Linked DNA regions of Elephas maximus indicus. The protein of the gene in region 2 purifies or fractionates together with the protein of the main gene of each other region. This does not show direct contact. Links are inferred from orthologs where the notes say so. Each region holds a gene or a part of one and is shown on either strand. Other genes may lie near its edges. The genes, in order: PKM, HDAC6 and DNAJA1.

Region 1 (3,746 bases), on a different chromosome or scaffold from region 2:
TCCTGGGCATCTGGGACCCGGCTGGGTCAGGGAGAGGAGAAAGGCTGCTCGCCCCGAGGGCCGGCTCCTCAACGCCCCCAGCTTCCGTTCCTTCCAAATTCGGATGGCAGAGCCAGCCCCTAGCGTCCCCCATGCCGGCCCCATCCTCCGCTCCATCTCCCTTCCTGCTCAATCTGGTTCCATCCTCTCCTCCCGTGCCTTGCTCCCTCCCAGTCTGATCGCATCTTCACTTCCCTCCTCCTCCGCCCCGGTCTGGTCCTATGCTGGCCTCCTTCCCTTTAACACTAGTCCCAATCGCCCCCTCGTTTCCAACTTGTCCTTTTCACCTTCCTTCTGATGCTTTCGTTGTGACTTCTCCTTGAAACTCTGTCTCTGCTTCGCATCCCCGCACCCTCCTCCCTTCCAGTTCCATCTGCTCTCCTCGCGCCCCGTCCCCTGTTCACCTACCACTTCCCCCTTTCGCCCCCGTGCCGCCCCTCCCCCTCCACCCCGGTCACGTCCGCACCCCTGCATCCTTCTCCCGCCCTCTCTGCCGCCCCGGCCCCTCCCCCTGCCTCTGGTCGGATCCGCCCGCCTCTCCTGGGTCCTTCTCGGTCCTGCCCTTTTCTCCATCCCGGCCTCCCAGGCCCACCAGCAGCTTCCGGCCCTGGTGGAGCCCTTGGCCCCGGTCCGTGGCGGGAGGTCGGGCAGTGAGTCACCACCCCAAGTTCGTGGTGTGCGAATAGATAGGGCTGTCATCTATGCGCCCAGGGGGATGCTACAGCGGCCCCGGGCGCAGCTACGGGGTTACATAACCCTTGGCCTTCCCGGCAGCGGGGGAGAAGGGCTGACTTCGCCTGTGGCGAGTTCCTGTTTTGTCGGCTATTCCCGCGCTGGCCGCGGACCATGCGGAGACCCTGCAGGGTGGCAGCGCGACACTACGCCTCTTCGAAGAAGTCACGCGACTCCATCCCTCCGCGGCCAGGCTGCAAGTAGCGGCCCCGCTCCCGGGCCCTACCCCGCTGGACGGCTAGCGTTTCCTGGCGGAGCCTGACCTCCAGCCGGAGAAGCTGCCAGATGGCTTCGGCGTGGTCTCCTTGCGTTGGCGGCACGGGATTTCTTGCCTCTGCTTCACGTTTCTTAACAAATGTGCCCAGGTTGTAGAACGCGGAGGTCCCGGGTGGGTCCGGGAGCAGGTTACGAGGTAGGGGAGGGAAACCTTCCTTAGAGCTTGACGCCCTTCGTGATGGTCGCACAATAAAAACTCTAGTGCCAAGGGCTGCTTTGGGGAGGGGTTTGGTGTGCAAGGAGATGTGCAAGGAGGAGGGAGCTGAGCCCGCTGAGCTGCCGATCTGTTTATAGAATGAAAGTAACTTATGACTGGTAAGTGCTGTGAGGAAGGCACCAGCTTCCTGCTGTGGGCGTGGAGACTGGGGGTGGGCAGGAGGCCTCACAAGGTGGCATTCACACTGGGTTTGAAGGAGCAGGGAAAGCACCTTCTAGTCTGAAGGTTAAAGACTCAGTCGTGGAGCGGCATCTCTTGCCTTCTTATCCATATTGTCCAAACTCAGGAGGTTGATCTCCTTCAGTATGGGTAAAATGAACCTAAGAGTTCAGGTACAGGCATGATGGGCAGATACTTGACTCATTAATATACTGAGATGGCCAAAGGACCAGTTTTCCACGCATAAACTGGAGGTAATATTTTCCTCATGATTGTCGAATGGATTGGTCTCTACACACACCTTCATGTTTATATATTGAATACTTGGTGCAGTGTCTAGGACGTAGTAGGTGCCCCACAAGTTGCATTTGCCAGAATCTAATCTCTGGTGAGATGTCCAGAAGAAATGTCTTCAAATGCTTGTACTCTTTTGGTCACTGAGCACAATTACTACCTAATTGATGCTTGAGCATAAGTGTTGAACTTCTTGATTCACCATATCCCAGTCATCCCCAAACACATACAGTTAGGCTCTAAATACAGTGAAACCTTTGCGAGCCAGAATCGACTTGGCTGCCTTGTTTTCCCGGGTCTCTAAAGTTTTCCACCTTTGAAAGGGTGTTTTTCCATCGCTATTAGTGGAAAATATTTGAGTTTTCCTTCAGTGACAGGTTTCTGCTTTAAGCAGGTTCCAACCTTTGTAGGTTTTACTGCAGCAGACATCACTTGGAAACCAGTCCCCTGAGGGATGCTGGGATAGTGCTTACAAAGTAACTAATAATGTTACTTTGCAAATCTTCACTTGCAACTGGGACTCTTTGGTCTTCTGAGAATGGCAACCTCTAGACAAAGGAAGGCTAGGAGGGGGATGATTTCAGCCTTTGGTGGTTGGCTGTAAGAATAGAAACAAACTTGCAACACCAAGACTGAAATCATTAGATCCCAGCTCTCCTTACCTGCCAGCCCCTGCAGGTAGGGTTCTAGGATTTGCTAGATAGGCTGACAAGTGTGAGGGTAGGAGTGGAGGCTGGGGGCATACATAGCCTGTTGGCCATACTGAGGGTGTGATCAGAGGAGGGCCTAGGTTGGGACCCCCCCACCCCCACCCCTGCTGCACCATTGTTAGCAAATAATTTGCCCTCCGGTTGCCTGAGGATGCTGATGGGTATGCACTGGGGCTGTTCTGAGGAGGAAGGGTATGTAACCCATTACCAGGTCTGTGTGTTGGTGGAGGCACAGTAGGGAAGATGACTCAACCTCTCAACTTCTCAGCTTTCGAGAGAATTCTCCTCATTGGGTGAGTGGGGAAACTGCATTGCGGTCTTTGCAGGTTTAAAAAGTCCCCTTTCAAAGAGTCAGATAATGAAGCATGTGTTTCCCCCGCATAAAATGTCTCACTAAGTGAAAAATGATTGGTCCAGGGCCCTGGGCCCCCTCCGTACTACCCAAAGAGCTTAAGTGCAGAGTGGCAGTCTGCACCTGCATTGCTGAGCATGGCACTCTCTCAGTGGGTTGCCCTCTGAAGGACAAGGAATTTAGTAACAGGAACTTAAAGGAAGAATGTCCTTGAACTCATTTCCAAGTATATGGATGTTAGTTGGTTCCTTTCTAGAACAGTTGCTTTTAGTTTAATCATTTGTTAGAAATGAATGATTTTAGCTGTCCGGTTCCTAGTTTACCAAGGACCATTAATGGGCTTTTAAGAACTGCAACCCCAGTAATTTGGCAGCTGTGACTCGAAACAGCTTAGTACCTTATGGAAGTTGCTTCTGTATTTGAATGTTGTAACACTAACGTGGGGTCACAGGAAAAGCCATTTTATTTCTTAAGGCTGTTTATTTCTTAATGTTGAGGCAATGAAAGGAATGAGGAAGCGGCTTTGAGCAGGAAGGTAGAAAAAAATGCAGCCCTTGTATTACAGACATATTACTTGGGTTTGAATTTATTTTGCTTCAGCTTTTATGAAGGCAAGTCCAGCAGTGTTACCTTGGCCAAGAGCTAAGACTGAGATCAAGGTAGAGGAAAATGATTCCTTTGACATTATCTTTATTTCTGAATCACTCCAAATGTCCACGGTCAAATCCCATTTAATTGGTACACCACAAGCATGTGTCAGCCCTGTGAGCAGAGTTTTATTGCAATCTTGTTGAGGATCTTTGTGAAATGCGTAAGTGATTTATTTGATAAAAGGTCTCATTGAACCTTGAGTTGTCACTTTAATCATCCAGATGGGAACAGAGCTATGTATGAAGACCATTTTTAATGCCACTATACTTTCTGGGAGCTTGAATTTATCACCAAGAGCCAGACTTTGGCTAATTGA
Region 2 (3,746 bases):
ATACTACTACCAGTTACCAGTTGCCATTGAGTCAATTCCAATTCATGGCAATTTCATGTGTGTCAAAGCAGAACTATGCTTCATAGGGTTTTCAATGGCTGATTTTTTGAAGTAGATCACCAGGCCTTTCTTCCAGGGCACCTCTGGGTAGACTCAAACCTCCAACCTGTAGTTAACAGCTGAACTTAACTGTTTACATCACCCAAGGATTCCTCCTGGCACACAACTGTTTACATCACCCAAGGATTCCTCCTGGCACACAGTAGGTGCTAAAAGGAACCCTTTTAACTCTAAGCCCCACCTCCCCAAATCATCTGCTTCCAGTTTCCAGGCTGCCCTAAGAAAGAATTCCTTCTTGCTAATGTGTTTTTGGGGACTGCTTAGAGGACTCAGCCTCACCTGTCATCCCAGAGGCAGTGGAATTCATTTAGCTGCTCTTCGAACACCAAGCCTGTGCCAGACAGTGCCTTGGGCTCCAGGTTCAGATCCTGCAGGGAAAAAATGGGAGACACAGATCCAATTAGAGCCTGAGTCAGAGGGAACATTCCATACTGTCCAGGATGGGAAACCTCAGGGTCTTGGGTTGCCATTGGAGGCTAAATCCAGGCCAGGCCCCTCTCACCAGCTCTTGCAGCCCCATGATTAGGTCTTGCTCTGCTGCTTGGCTGAGCTTCTTCATTCTGCCTTTCTTCTTTACCTCTGCTAGACTAGGGCTGGAGCGGGGTACAGCACCCTTTTTAACACCACGCTTCTGTCAAGCAGAAAGAAGGGTCAGAGTCCAGGGGACAATCCACGGCTCTCCCTCCCCGGGGCCGGTCTGGGGCCTCACCGAGATGACGCTGGAGTTATGGGAGGGTGAGTGGGGGTTGTGTCTACTCCTTCGCTGTCTGTTTGTGGTGGAATCTTGGCCGGTGGAGGTCATGGTAGGAGAGACTGAGCCCCTGACACGGTCCTGGGGGAGTAGACGTGACTGTCTGTAAGGGACGGTGTGCCCAGAGGACCCAATATCCTTCCCCTTGCCGGCCCGCCTCCTATACTATTCTCCATCCCTTATGCTAGCCTATTCCCCACTGCCTTCTAAAACTCCACTTCTCCCAAGACCCTCTCCCTCCACTGGGGTGTCCCTTTCACCTTTCCACTAAATTCTACCCCTTTTACACAATTCTCTTTTCCTCTTTCAAATACTTGCCCTTTCACTGAGCCATTAATTCCCGACTCAGTCCTTTCTAGGGCCTGCCCTTCCCAGCTAATCCCCGCCCTTCCACTCTACCTAGCCCCCCATTCCCAGACCCTTTCATTCTTCTAAGCCTCGTCCTGGTTGTGGAACTCTGATGGTGTAGCGGTTAAGAGCTCGGCTGCTAACCAAAAGGTCAGCAGTTTCAATCCACCAGCCGCTCCTTTGAAGCACTATGGGGCAGTTCTATCCTGCCCTACAGGATCGCTATGATTCGGAATCGGCTCGACAGTACCTAACAACAAGCCTCACCCAGACCCCACCCCTTCACAAATCTTCCTTTTACGGCGATCTCCAGGGAAAATCGCCCACGCTTTCACTCAGCCAAACCCAGCCACTGCCCCATCCCAAGCTTAACGATTCACCTACCCTCGCCCCTAACGTTTCAATAAGTCCCGCCCCTGAGAGGACTACTTTCCTTCCTCCAGACCCTATCCCCTGCCCTAGGCCCTACACTTAACGCCACACCAACCCCCTCTAGCCAGTCCTGAGCCGCCTCCCGCTAGCTTCCGCCCCCTTCTCGCTCCCCACATTGACGCAGACCAACCGCTTCGGTTCCACTCACTGGGCGCGGCCCCCTCTCAAACCCCGCCCATTGCTCTCGCTAGCAAATTCTGGCGACTTGTGGGACGGCGGGTTCCCAGGCTCCTCCTTTCCATTGGGGCGGTTCTCTCTGCCTGCTGAGATCCCGCCCACACCAGCTTCCTCAGTGCCCCCCAAGACCACGCCCATCGCGCTGGCCACACCTTCCGCAAGCTCACAAAACCGGCGCGGAGGCAGGAGAAACTGTCTATGCTGCGCCTGCGTGAAGTAGCACTAGCGGTTCAATACAAGGCTAAGGCTGTCCCGTCCCCCGGCTACTGCTTGCCTGCCTTGGCCACCAACCCTCTGCCCCTGCCCAGTCACCTCAGGAACCCTCTGGATCCGCGACGATTGTGCCTTGCAAAGATTCAAGAGAGCGCAGGGAAGGGAGGGAGTTAGGCAACGGCGTTTTCCCACTTTCCCGCTGCTTCCGGCGCGGCGCTCCGTGATGACGTAGCTTGGGCGGGCTGGCTGCTGGGCCCGAAGTGGGGCCCAGAGTGGGGTTGAAACTGAAGGACGGTTTGGTAGCGGCCAAAGTGCGAATGATGATGATCATAAATACTGTGGGGATTCTATGAGTTGATATTCACTAAGGTCGCACACATTAAGCACACACCAAATGTTAAAAAAGCTATTAAAATTCTGGGAAAATGGGTGGTGGCGCAGGGGGAGGCGTAGTGGGACAAGTAATTGTAAGGCTAAAAGCAAAAAACCAAACGCGTTGCTGTCTAGTCGATTCAGACTTAGCGACCCTATACGACAATAGAACTGCCCTATAGGGTCTCCGAGTTCGATTCAAACTACCCACCTTTTGGTTAGCAGCCAAGTTGTTTAACCACTGCACCACCGGGTTTCCAATTGTAACGCTAGCAAGTACTGTACACCAGGCATTGTTAGCCACAACTCTATGAGGTACTTCCCATTATTAATGCTGCTTTGCAGATAAGGAAACTGAGGTTACATGACTTGGCCATGTGACCTTGGGCAAGTTACTGAACATCTCTGTGCTTCAGTTTCCTCATATGGAAAATTGTGATAATAATATTGCCCGAGGCTAGAATGGAGTCGGAGTTTTTCATGGTTGGCTGGTCTCCCTATCTGCCTCCCTCCACCGGGTAAACTGCACTCAAGCTGTAATACAAAGCCTGTGTGCCTAGAGAGTAGGGGGAGTTGTTCCTATGGCCCGCTCTCCCTCCCACCCCTGTCTAAATATCAGCTCTGCAGGAGGTCGGTTTGTCCTCCTAATCTCCCTCTCATTCTCCACCATTTCCTACCGGGCTGCAGGCTGGGGCCAGAGAGATAAGCGGTCTGGGGTTCAGCAGCGCTGACTAACAAATAGATTGACAGCCCCACCGCCCAGTAGGTGGGCCTTCTGACCCTCTTGAAGACCCCCCCCCCACTTCCAGCCTCTTCATGCCTTTCATTCTTTTCCATCTGAACATGCCTTTTGTACCAGTGGAAGAGAGTCATAGACTTAAGACCTTTAAACCTCAAAGAAAATACACATACAATGATACACACTGGGAAACATTCTGGGGTTGTTATGCTTGCAAAATAAAAGTGTAGGGAGTCTGGAATGGGTCAAGGCCCAATTTTTTGTAGTCAGGAGAGAGGTTCCTATAGAGCAGAGGTTGGCAAACTCTAGTAAAGGCCAGATTTTAGGCTTTTGAAGACCACATAAGGTCTCTATGGCATATTTTTATTTTTTTTAACAACCCTTTGAAAGGGTAAAAACAGGCTACAAGCTGGCCTTGCCTGCAATCTATAGTTTGCCAATCCCTGCTTAGAGTATCAGTCCTTGGTTTTCCTTACCTGGCTGGGATTCTTCTATAGGATGAGGGCAGGGGTTCCCTGTGGCCTGAAGAGAGGTATTCCTTTTCTGTTAGGTTTGAGGACAGGGGTTCATTTACAAGGCCAGGTCACTTCTGGT
Region 3 (3,746 bases), on a different chromosome or scaffold from region 2:
AGTGTCGTGGACCAGGCTTTTCCACCTTTCCATTTTCAGCTTCTCCGGTGCTAGATATTCACCATATGTTTGTTTATGTAACTGAATAACCCAGGCCCCTATTTTCCATTATGCCCTCGTCCCAAAATTTGAAAGCGCATGAGCTCACTTTATAGACTGTAGATCCAGGTTCACATACTAACAGAACCTGAAATTCAGATAAAGTCATTAGAACAACTTTTTACATTTAGCCACTCTCGATGGTACTGCGTCCCCAGCTAGCCAAACCAGGTGAAAGCCTGGCCAGAGAAGGGCTCAAGGCTCTCAGCTTGCGCCAAGACATCCTAAACGTTTCCCTATTTATTTGCACAATCCCCTGAGCTCCATGTGTAGGAAACAGCATGGCCCAAGGCTGGGACCTGGACTTGCACAAAGAGCTCTTTCAACCTCCCATTTGGTGAATTACAAGATCCTGTATGGAAACCCTGGTGGAGTAGTGGTTAAGTGCTACAGCTACTAAGAGGTTAGCAGTTCAAATCTGCCAGGCGCTCCTTGGGAACTGTATCGGTTAGTTCTACTCTGTCCTATAGGGTTGCTATGAGTTGGAATTGACTCAACAGCAGTGGGCTTGGGTTTTTTTTTTTTTGTATTCTGCGTGAAATACAGCAAGACCCAAGGCCTCTGACACTGGTCTGAAGGCCAGGCCCGCCTTGCTCAGCATTTCTTGCTCGGCATGTTCCCATAACCTCAGGGCTGAGGAACTAAACCGCTTGAAGACGCCGAAAGACGCAAATGAGGCGAATGCAGAGAGGAGGGGCTGCAGGGCTTTGTTCTGAAAGGTTTCCGTTCAGCAGACCGCATTCGCCAGGGGCCCTGCTCCAAGCTCTCCCTAACCCTACGAGCGGCGGCGTCCACTTCACCCATTTGAATTCTCCGAGTTGCCTCGGAATTGCAGAGCAAACTGAATAATCCCTGCTTCCGCCCGAGACTTCCGCATCCCGGGCCCGCCGGGTAAAGGAAAGGGGCTCCAGAAGGTTCCATGAGCTTCAAGAACCCAGGCTTACGCCCACCCCCCCACAAGGCCTTTCGGCACAGCGCCTCCCACCCCGAGCGCCCCCGCGCCGTTGCCCAGGTAACTGCGGGGAGGTGGCAGCGGCCAAGAGGGGCGGGACTTCCGGCGAGTGACGCGCCGCGGCTCGGCTACAAAAGACGACGGCTGCGGCGCTCCGAGGGGAACTTTCCAGAACGCTCGGTGAGAGGTGGAGGGGTGGCGACTCCCGAACTGCGTACAGCTACGCGCTCCGTCCCGCTCCCCCACACCAGCCTCGGTCCGCTCAACTGTGAGTTTCAGTCCTCGCGCTTCCCCTTGTCTCCGCCTGGCGCCATTGGTGGCGCCGGGATTCCGGATGGAGTCGCGGGCGGGAGGCGGTTGGCTCCGCGTGGGCGAGAGGGTTGTCGGTACCCATATCCACGATTCTCAGTCTGGAGGGCTGGTGTGTGACTCGGCAATGAATCTCCGGCTCGCAGTGAATGGGCCCGAGACCTTGAACTCTCCCACTCCTCATCCAGTCTGTGGACCCAGAGGAGGCGCCGCCTTCCTGCCCCTCTGTCCGCGCCCCCGACCCCCCCGTACCGTACTTTCTCGGGGTGGGCGGCCTCGCGCGCACGCGCAGAGGGAGGCAGGGAGTCGAGGGGCTGCGGGAGGAGCCTGCGGCTTTCGTTTCTTTCTCCCCACCCTCTCTTTGTTGAGGGCTGGGCTTCGCTCTCCACCCCTTCGATCCGTGGTGGGCGGGAGAAAGGAAGGAAACCTTAACGGTCGGCGCCAAATGCAGGGGAGAACCTGACGAGATGTAAAGTACCCTGCCTTATGGGGAGAGGGGGTTGGACGGTTAAAGCGGAGGAGTGTAAACCCTGTGATTGAGAAACATCTCTAAGGACTTGGGGGAGGGGAGCTGTTTCTCTGGATCTGGTGTTTCTGATTATTTCTGTAAACCAATTCCCCCTATCCCCAATTGTGCCCAAACGTCTTTTTTCTGGGGAGTATATGGCGTTATTAGACTTACCAAAGACGGTAAAACGTGAGAATCCACGGACCGAACCTACTATGCTTCTTTTTATTGTGGCTGGCTGTCACCACCTTTGGGAGGGGGAAACAAGCAACCCAGGTAATAATGTGTTAGTTCGGATACTTTAGTGTGGGAGAGTGGAAGCCAACTGCTACAAGGAGCCCTTGAGTTATTCGTTGGTAATTACTGTTTTATGTTTAGTCTACTAGAATTTGTGGCTGAGTTATCCCAGAAATTGTTACTTTTACGGTGAAGTTTAGATAGTGAGGTGGTATTCCTCTAATCAGATTTGGCGAAGGACTCAACTTTTGTCTTAACTCTGACTTTACTAATTAAAACTACAATTTGAAAGTCGGTTAAAATGGCATTTTCTTATTTCAGGCTGTAGAAAATGGTGAAAGAAACCACTTACTATGATGTTTTGGGGGTCAAGCCCAATGCCACCCAGGAAGAGTTGAAAAAAGCTTATAGGAAACTGGCCTTGAAGTACCACCCTGATAAAAATCCAAATGAAGGCGAGAAGGCAAGTAGTACGTCCTTAAAAGTATCTGAATAGTTCTTTCCCAGGTGTCTAGTTTTTATAGTACCACGTGAAATTGAGTGTATCTGACATAATGGCAAAAGGAGCCCTGGCATGATATGGTTAAGCGCTGTGGTGCTAACCAAAAGGTCAACAGTTCAAACCCAACACCCACCAGAGGCTGCATGGGAGAAGAGATCTGGCAATCTGCTACCATAAAGAAAGATTACAGCTTAGGAAACTATGGAGCAGGTTGCTATGAATTGGAATCAACTTGACAGCATAACAACATAATGGCTGTGCTTTGTAAGTTTTGTTTTAAAAAATGAAATTTATTCTTTTTTTTTTTTCTCAAACAGTTCAAACAAATTTCTCAAGCTTATGAAGTGCTTTCTGATACAAAGAAAAGAGAATTGTATGACAAAGGAGGAGAGCAGGCCATCAAAGAGGGTGGAGCAGGTGGTGGTTTTGGCTCCCCCATGGACATCTTTGATATGTTTTTTGGAGGTGGTGGAAGGATGCAGAGAGAAAGGAGAGGTAAGACAACCTAGTCCACATGCAGCAAATTAAAGTAGCCATTGGTCAAAACAGATTGTTGAGCAACCATAAGTTTTAAATGCATGTTTATGTTGGTATAATGTTGGGTACTTAATTTATGGTGTAGTTTAGATTGAGGTTTGATGTAACAATATGCTAAAAAAAAAAAATTTGCTAAACCAATTAAGCGGTAACAGATTATTCGTAAAGGTCTTGCATGTACTATGATTAATCAAACACTAAAGAAACAAAATAACAGCAACATAATTTTCAAAGTGTTTTTTATAGATACCAGGCTCATAGCGACCCAGTGTTAAATACAGTAAGTAGCCTCTTCAGTCAAAGGTGATCTGAAGTAAATTTTATGAGGGTCATACAGCCAGTCCACTGTAGAGCCAGAATCAGAACACAGGTTCATTGTCTTCACATAGCTTGTTAGCTGTAATCTTGATTCAGCTTTATTTTATCAAAATACATGAATTTTTATTTAGCAGAAACGTAGTCTGCAGGCTGTAGAAATATTGTTCAGTACAGTGTTCTGGTCAAGAGAAGACAGTCTCACCTTATTTCCTGTATGTTTTATACAAACAAGGGCTAATGAGTAGAGGCCAACTTTAGAACAAATGGGCAAGTCGTTAAATTTC

The links.
Region 1: the proteins of HDAC6 (region 2) and PKM purify together in Homo sapiens (affinity purification with mass spectrometry, with the first as the bait; 4 studies listed by BioGRID). This does not show direct contact. The link is inferred for Elephas maximus indicus from reciprocal best matches to the Homo sapiens genes HDAC6 and PKM.
Region 3: the proteins of HDAC6 (region 2) and DNAJA1 purify together in Homo sapiens (affinity purification with mass spectrometry; 4 studies listed by BioGRID and IntAct, with this or other methods). This does not show direct contact. The link is inferred for Elephas maximus indicus from reciprocal best matches to the Homo sapiens genes HDAC6 and DNAJA1.

The regions. Positions count from the first base shown.
Region 1 is NC_064831.1:62,521,937-62,525,682, reverse strand, and holds the start of PKM (pyruvate kinase PKM), read left to right. Parts: upstream 1-963; 5' UTR 964-1,056; coding exon 1,057-1,136; intron 1,137-3,746. UniProt on the Homo sapiens protein: Catalyzes the final rate-limiting step of glycolysis by mediating the transfer of a phosphoryl group from phosphoenolpyruvate (PEP) to ADP, generating ATP.
Region 2 is NC_064846.1:122,835,635-122,839,380, forward strand, and holds the start of HDAC6 (histone deacetylase 6), read right to left. Parts: upstream 2,251-3,746; 5' UTR 2,141-2,250; intron 1,877-2,140; exon of another isoform or gene 1,782-1,876; intron 1,707-1,781; exon of another isoform or gene 1,604-1,706; intron 1,552-1,603; exon of another isoform or gene 1,487-1,551; intron 1,435-1,486; exon of another isoform or gene 1,291-1,434; intron 953-1,290; 5' UTR 923-952; coding exon 830-922; intron 752-829; coding exon 623-751; intron 489-622; coding exon 400-488; intron 1-399.
Region 3 is NC_064827.1:42,217,728-42,221,473, forward strand, and holds the start of DNAJA1 (dnaJ homolog subfamily A member 1), read left to right. Parts: upstream 1-1,148; 5' UTR 1,149-1,319; intron 1,320-2,426; 5' UTR 2,427-2,436; coding exon 2,437-2,568; intron 2,569-2,924; coding exon 2,925-3,102; intron 3,103-3,746.